Linked DNA regions of Caenorhabditis elegans. The protein of the gene in region 1 interacts with the protein of each later gene in a pairwise test. Each region holds a gene or a part of one and is shown in the gene's direction. Other genes may lie near its edges.

Region 1 (4,083 bases):
CTTTACGAGACTATAAATTCCTATGAACATTTATAAAATCTAACAAATGTGGCGTACAGTGTTTCACAGTATTCCACAACTAAACGGATAACGTTAATTCCGTCATTGTGAGTTATGTATGAGCAATATATTCTGTTCAATAATTAACTCCTGGCTATACAAACTTGCTCACCTCGGCGTAGACCCTCGCCCGGCTAGGAATCGGAGGCATTTCCCAAGAATAACGATCTGAAACAAGTAACACGTTATTTTTGAGCAAGTTTTGACAAAACGGCTGTTATAATTGAATTATTAGAACGAAATTTTCAGTAGAAATAGTAAAATCTCGGGAAAACTGATAAAACCCGAATAATTTTGAAAATACATGCCAGAACATGAAAAGAGTACGCAAATGCGAGAGAGCGCAGAGAAAAAACCAAATGTGAACTCGTGCGTGGTGAGATATTCCCGCTGCGAAAGTCGGTGTGCCTTTAAATTTGTCATCATCGACAACGGCGCGCATTTTCTTTTCTCATCTATTTCTGTATTTTAGAATGAAATCACTTTATTTTCAGCGAAACACTTAATTAAAATTGATATTTTCAGGTAATTATGCTTTCAGCTTCACAGCTTCATCGATTTGTGCAACATATTAATCGCCAGGCAAGCCGAGTAAGTTCTGAAGCAATTAATAAGTTATTTTATGTTTTTCTTCAGAACACATGGGTATTGCGCCGAGTATTCCAACCAGAAGTCACACCGCCCGGCGGAGTACAGAAAAATCCCAATGATTTCCACGATTACCAGAAATACGAAGTTGTTGAGTTCGAAACACAAAAATCCGCTGGTCCGATTAATGTGATTTTACTTCAAGATGTTGAAGGTAGTTTTTTAAAATAAAAGAAAGCAAATGTAAAAAATTCATTTTTACAGGAATTGGCCATCAGTTCGATGTGGTTAGTGTGGATCGGACTTTGGCCCGAAAGGATTTACTATTATCTAAAAAAGCCGTCTACGCGTCGCCGTTTGATTTAAAGTACTATTCAGATATGAAAACAGTGGGTTTTAATGTTAATTTATATTTTTCAATCAAATAATAATTTCAGCGAATGGCTGAAGAACTTGCTTCTCGAATCAGAATTCCATATGAGCTCAAAGTGGTTGGACGAGATTTGCAAAAAATGGTCATTCCAATCAAAGTTAATATGGAAAATCAATGGACGATTGATAGGAATCTTGTAAAAAGCTCACTTCGTCAAATGGGAGTTTTCGTTGCTGAAAATACAATTTTCCTCGCCGCTAAACCAATTTCTGGCCCGAATTTTGATATCGAAGCAAAACTATTCCGATTCTACGTTGTTGTAAATCAACAATACATTGTTCCTATGTTAGGAAGGATTACACATATTTCAGTAGATGAATCCAAACAGGTAAAGATTGAAAAGTTGTAGAAAATTATTGAATTTCCCTTTTTCAGATGATTTCTCCTACACTGACAACACCACGTGACGAGGAATTGGCTCGATATTCCATCCGAAAAGAGTTCCCATTGTACAGTAAAAATAACGATTTCACGGAAGATTTCCCAATTTTCGAGCACATGAAAGAGCATGCACCAACAACTCCACATTAGAATTCTAATAATCAATCAGACTAGATTTAATGTGTTTCAATTCTTTATTTTTGTTATTCTTGTTTTGTTGTTTGAAAAAAATCGATTTTATTTGTATTTGATTCTTCAAATAATTTTTAATTTATTTGCTCACGGTTTAATCACCGTTTAATATCTTCCTTCATTTATTCGTCAAACTGTTTTAAATTTAATTTTATTTCTCACATTCTACAGAGTTCATACAAAGGTGCTCAACACATTTCCAAAATGGTTCAAGAAAGTACTATGATTTGGTGAGTTTTTCTTGAATAATACGAACAATGGCAATATTATTTACTTTTCAGTGTCGACAATTCGGAATACATGCGCAACGGAGATTTCCAACCAACTCGGCTCCAATCTCAACAGGATGCAGTAAATCTTGTTACACAATGCAAGTTGCGTGCCAATCCGGAGAATGCTGTTGGAATTCTGTCAATGGCAAAGTTCGTATATTACTCAAACTCGAACGTTTTTTTGCGCTAAAATGACGGTACCTGGTCTCGACACGAAGATATTTTGTTAAATGCAAAAAGGTGTGCCCCTTTGAGGAGTACGGTAGTTTCAAACTTTCGCCGTTCTAGAATTTTCATTGGAAAATCGATGAAAATTCAGTAACAACGTTTGAAGTTACAGTATTCTTTAAAGGTGCACATCCGTTTGTATTTAGCGAAAAATGTCCTGTCGAGACCCAGTACCGTTTTTTGGCGCAAAAATCACTGATTTCCGGTAACACATGAAATTTTTCAATGTTTTCCTTTTCAGCAGTGTTCAAGTATTGTCAAGTCTGTCCACAGAACAAGGACGTTTGATGATGAAGAATCATTCCATTGAGCCATTCGGAAAATGCAACTTTATCGCCGGTATCAAGATTGCTCATCTTGCTCTGAAACATCGTCAAAACCGTAATCATAAGATGCGCGTTGTTCTCTTCATCGGATCACCTCTCGAGGAAATTGAAATGAATGAGCTCGTGAAGATTGCAAAGAAAATGAAGAAAGAGAAGGTTCTGTGCGACGTCATCATGTTCGGTGAAAATGAATCCGATGGACATGAGAAATTCTCAACATTCGTGGACACATTGAACGGAAAAGAAGGCAGCGGCTCATCCTTGATCGTTGTTCCACAAGGATCTTCCCTCACAGACGCGTTGTTGCAGTCAAGTGTATGCAAAAATGAAGATGGGCAAGCTGCATTCGGTGGAGGTGGAAACGGAATGGATAATGCATTCGGAATGGATGTTGAAAATGATCCAGATTTGGCTTTAGTAGGAAATTATTTTTTGGTTGCGTTGGAAAATCATTTTATTATTCTTTTTAGGCTCTTCGTGTCTCAATGGAAGAGGAACGAGCTCGTCAAGCCGCCGCCGCTGCTGCAAATGGAGGTGCCGCGGATTCTGGAGCTGATGCCGAAGTTGCTGCTGCGGCTGCTGCTGTTCCATTGGAAGAAATGGACATGGGAGCGATGACTGAAGAGCAACAATTGGAATGGGCTCTTCGTCTTTCAATGCAGGAAAATGCTCCGGCTGAGCAGCCACAAGTACAACACGAACAAATGGATGTGGATGGAGCTCCAGCAGTTGGAGGAGACAATCTTGATGATTTGATGAACAACCCAGAACTTTTGCAGCAAATTGTGGACGATCTTCCTGCTGCAAATGCGGAGAAGGATGATGACAAGGAGAAGAAATAAATGTCCCTGTGAAGTTGTTTTATTGTATTTTATCCTATTTATTATTGAATCACCATCCAGCCACCCCAAGTGAATGATTTTCAGTCTCCAACTTCTTCTTCCCCGCTGCGTAATTCTAATTTATTCCATCTCTCATTTTTCATCACGTATTTTCCTGTATATCCAGACCGATGTGAAAATAAACTTTTTGTGGCAAATATAAATTTATTCATGATTAGATTCTAGATATTGATTGATTATGGGAGTGGTGTCATGGATCCTTTTTGTATTGCTTCAGATAGTCTTCCACATTCTTCATCATCTCGCTGGCCGATGGAAGCTTTTGTAACTGAAAACAGTTGAATAAATTATCAATAATCAATCAAAATAAAAGATAACCTCATAATTCTGTGCAAAGTACGCTCCGGCGTATGCTCCAAGCCCCATCGTCAGGAGATGCGAGAAGAGACCCATATTTTACTGAAATTATTGATTTTTTCAGAGATAAAATATGTGATACATTTAGGAATAATCATTAAGAACATAATTTTATGTAAATTGAGATTGCAATTAAATTAAATTGAATATTTTAAAGGAAACACGATAAAATCAGCAAAAAAATGACGCACCGCTTAAAAAGCAAGTGCGCTCTACTGATAATCTTTTTCGAACGCTCTTCAATTAATTGGAATTTCCGAAATTTTATTATTTTCAGCTTTATAAAAGGAATATGACAGAAAGTACAAGCTTGGATGAACTTTTCAAAGATCGATATTCTCAGG
Region 2 (3,946 bases), on another chromosome or scaffold:
AGTTTATTTCCATAAGTAGACGATTTACTATTTACATGTAGTTTTCGCTACAAGATATTCAAAAATATGTTACGCAATACACATCATCGTTCATTCAACTTTTTTGGCAACAATTATTTATAATTTTTTCAGAGTGAACACGGTTCTAACAAATCAGCCAGAATTTGCCGAGGCTTTCAAATGTCCAGCTGGATCTCCGATGAATCCAACGAAACGCTGTGTTGTGTGGTAATCAGAAAATACGGGAAAGGAGTCAACCAAGTTGGCACGCTTTATCTATCTGTCTCTCAGAATCTACTAAATCTTTCGTCCTTTTTTTTTACTCATCTAGCTGTATATATTGTTGAAAACAATAGACACTCGAATTCACTGTATTTTGTCCCTCTATGTATTTTTTCTCGAATTTTTCCAACTTCTTTTTTTGGTATATCATATTGATAGATGTTCTTGTTCATTCCAGAAATCTTTGTGCAAATAAAATTTTCAGATGTAATTAAAACTTGCTAAAACAATGCATCGGAAAGTTCATTTTCTTACAGTACCGAGAAAAAGACGCGAATAAATTAAAATCAGTTTACAAATACAATGCTTGAGTTCTTGAAAGACACCGGTTAAACGATTTGTTCGAGTTGCTTGGCGTAGAAGAGGGTTTGAGTTGCGACTCGCACTGTATCCAAATTCACAGGCTTCTCCTGAGCCACCTCAATTTCGAAAACGTAACGCTCTCCATCCAAATGCCATTTTCTCTGTAAATAAATATATTTTTTAATACTTGTAGCTTTAAAAATCATTATTACCTCTTGTCCAAACTTTTTCATTTGTTCGTCATTGTCGAACAGAAGCATGACCGTGGCATCCTTCGCTGTCAGAACTTTGAAAGACTTCTCGATAGATGTTGCGATTTCGCGACGGATGGTGTCAAGCATAATACGAATGAAAATAGTGTAGAAGGGGCTTGGAATATTCTTCTCGGTGAGCACAACCTTGTTGTAGGCTCCTTCCATGAGACTCTGTTCAATACGAACTGGCGTAGAGATGTAAGCGTTTGATGTTTGCTCTTTCTGTGGAATTTGTTCGAGGAGCATGTGGAAGTCGGACAATCTGTTGGCAGCGAGCAGGAACATCAGATGGAGTCCAGTCATTAAATGCTTGTTTTCAGAATTTTCTGGCGCCATTGTATAGTAGGTATGCATCTGGAAAATTAAAAATAATTTACAGATCGTTAAAAATTACATAAATTTTCCAAATAATTATTTAAAGACTCACCTGATTGATGTAATCGTCGAACGTTTCGAAATCGTGCTTCAGAATTGCCAAGAGCACCGAAATCTCGTACAAATCTCTGAAAATTAATAATTTAAACTCATTACACCAAAGAAAAATCTTACTTTGAAGCCAATGCAGACTGTTTATCATTCAAATCGCTGGAGGCACTGAGAACCTTCTGAAAATTCAATTTATTTACAATTTGACAAACAATTAACTGACCGTCAACTCATTCAGAGCCTTCTCAACTGCGACAAGATCTTTTGGCTCCTTTGCCCACACAGCCAGAAGATTTTTATGGGCGGCAGACATTTTCTTAAATCCAATAATGTTTTAATTTGATAAAATCGAAGATAAAAGTTCACGATAAACACAAGTGAAGTTAAAAAATAAAAATAAAACATTCAAAAAAGAAATAAACGCATTCTCCGTAAATCGACACAATGACAATTCTGGCAGGTCTCGCCACGAAGAGTGTTCAAATCATGTGCGCCTTTAAGACGCCAAGCCATTTTCTCTTCTGTTTTTTACCACTTATTTTGTTCTTCAAAATGGTTTTTTTGTTTTGTTCTTTTATTAATAATCAAATGTTTGTTTATTTTATACATATATACTGCTTGTTTTGCATTAATATCAATCTGTTATCGATATTTATTTCTTTTTCTTTCAATACATGACTCTATTCGTAACATTTCACAATTTTTTGCAGGATGGTTTTGTCCGTTACATTCAGGACTCTCACACAAGTTAACTTCAATTTGGAATTGAATGAAGATCAGACGGTAAGATTAGAGTTAATGTTCGACTTGTATTTTATTTTTCTTTCAGATTGCGGAAGTAAAGGCTCTGGTCGCTTCGGAGAAAGGGGATGATTATGCTCCAGAACTTCAAAAATTAATCTACAACGGAAAGGTATTACAGTGAAGGCTCATAATATCTTTAAAGTATGTTTTTTTTTTAGATTCTCGACGATTCTGTGAAGGTCGGAGAAGTCGGATTCGATTCTTCGAAGTTCGTTGTTGTGATGCTCAGCAAAAGGAAAGTCACAGAAGTTGCACCTTCATCTACCGTTGCCACAGCTGCTGAGCCTGTTCCAGTAGCTGCCGCTCCTGCGTCAAACCCAGCCCCAGCTGCCGATGTTGCTCCTGAAGCTGCTGCTCCTGCTGAGGCGGAGGCGCTTACGGATGAGCAAGAAGAGAACGTTCTCGCAATCACTGGAATGGGCTATGACCGTGAACAAACTATCGCTGCTCTGCGCGCAGCATTCTGGAATCCAGACCGCGCAGTCGAGTTTCTTCTCAACGGACTTCCTGATGATGCTGCTGACCAAGAACCAGATTTGGGGCCCGAGCAAAACATCGATAACGTGGATGAGGATGGCAATGACGATCTTAACATGCTTGCAAACATGCCACAGCTTGCAGAAATTAGAGCTTTGATTCAACAAAATCCTGAAATGCTCGCCGCAGTCCTTCAGCAGTTGGCTGCTGTCAACCCAAGACTTGTTCAGACTATTCAGAACAACCAGCAAGCTTTCATGGATCTTTTGAATGGTGGAGCTCAAGGAGCCGGAGCCGCTGCAGGAAATGCGCCAGAAAGAAACACCCCACGTCGCCATGTTATCCATCTCAGTCCCGAAGAAGCTGCTGCTATTGAGAGAATCAAAGCCATAGTTGTTAATGCACCAGAAGCTGTGGTTGTGGAGGCTTATTTCGCATGTGACAAAAACGAGGAAGCCGCTATCAACTTTATTTTCAGCAACCTCGTGAGTTTATTTCCATACGTAGATAATTAGAAGTTTAATTTTTAATTATTTCAGGATGAGGAATAATTATCTTACCCATGCCAATAACTTCTGATCACCGTCACTGGAAATTGCAACAGAAATTAATTTATTCTCTCTCCCCCATTTCCGTAAAGCTTATATTCTTGCTCCTATCAGCCTAATTTTTTTATTAACACTTCTTCCAAGAATGTGTATTCATCGCCTTCTCGATTGCCCTTTGTCTATATATTTAAGATAATAACACATTCAGTTCCATGTGCTGATTGTCACCCGCTACTGGTAGGCACTTCGTTGAAATTCTCGTCGCGTTCAGCGAATTTTGTGTGACATAATTTCGGTATTGTAATTCCCTTTTGTCATCCAACATTTTCAAATGAAAGTCAAATGTTTTAATGATTCTTCGTTTCGATTTATCAAACTTTACCCAATGAGTCATCACGATTTCGTACTCCAATATCGGTCGTTCATTTCTTCTGAATATGCGCTAATTCACTTTACTTGAAGATGTCTGGAAAAATAAGCGAAGAAGCTATGCAGGAACAGGCCGAAAGGGCGGAATATGTGAAAAATATTGGGATTGAGTACAGATTTGGATGCTACGAAGTGAGAAATTTGAATTTTCAATCTTTCTTTGAAGTTAAATTTTCAGGAAAAAAGGCCAGAATCCTGTCAATTGCTCGGCGAATACATGGAAGCTCTGCAACAAAATTTTCAAGCGGCCGTAGCGATTTTCAAGAAGAACTGTGACGAGAACAGTTATCCAAAGTCATGTTTCAAGTACGGAATGTACATGTTAGCCGGAAAAGTTGGAGACGATGCAAGTCTGTCAAAAATGATTCGACCGATGAAAATCGCATGTGATGCGAATATTCCACAAGGATGTCGATATTTATC

The links.
Region 2: the proteins of rpn-10 (region 1) and rad-23 interact in a two-hybrid assay, tested with the Caenorhabditis elegans proteins (3 studies listed by BioGRID).

The regions. Positions count from the first base shown.
Region 1 is NC_003279.8:10,730,167-10,734,249, reverse strand, and holds rpn-10 (26S proteasome non-ATPase regulatory subunit 4), read left to right. Parts: upstream 1-1,825; 5' UTR 1,826-1,858; coding exon 1,859-1,884; intron 1,885-1,935; coding exon 1,936-2,076; intron 2,077-2,395; coding exon 2,396-2,897; intron 2,898-2,950; coding exon 2,951-3,322; 3' UTR 3,323-3,538; downstream 3,539-4,083. Other genes in the region: kin-3 (Casein kinase II subunit alpha), read right to left, coding at 173-211; mrpl-9 (Large ribosomal subunit protein bL9m), read left to right, coding at 592-651, 697-862, 913-1,037, 1,086-1,409, 1,457-1,612; B0205.12 (YtxH domain-containing protein), read right to left, coding at 3,573-3,650, 3,701-3,775; B0205.8 (TFG domain-containing protein), read left to right, coding at 4,032-4,082. UniProt on the Caenorhabditis elegans protein: Binds and presumably selects ubiquitin-conjugates for destruction. Required for protein degradation and ubiquitin-proteasome system (UBS) function and regulates proteasomal subunit expression. Involvement in UBS might be cell type specific.
Region 2 is NC_003280.10:11,650,759-11,654,704, reverse strand, and holds rad-23 (UV excision repair protein RAD23), read left to right. Parts: upstream 1-1,975; 5' UTR 1,976-1,976; coding exon 1,977-2,048; intron 2,049-2,094; coding exon 2,095-2,178; intron 2,179-2,227; coding exon 2,228-3,031; intron 3,032-3,085; coding exon 3,086-3,097; 3' UTR 3,098-3,443; downstream 3,444-3,946. Other genes in the region: nep-1 (Neprilysin-1), read left to right, coding at 133-232; rpn-12 (26S proteasome non-ATPase regulatory subunit 8), read right to left, coding at 612-746, 798-1,193, 1,267-1,342, 1,389-1,444, 1,489-1,578; coa-7 (Cytochrome c oxidase assembly factor 7 homolog), read left to right, coding at 3,557-3,655, 3,702-3,946.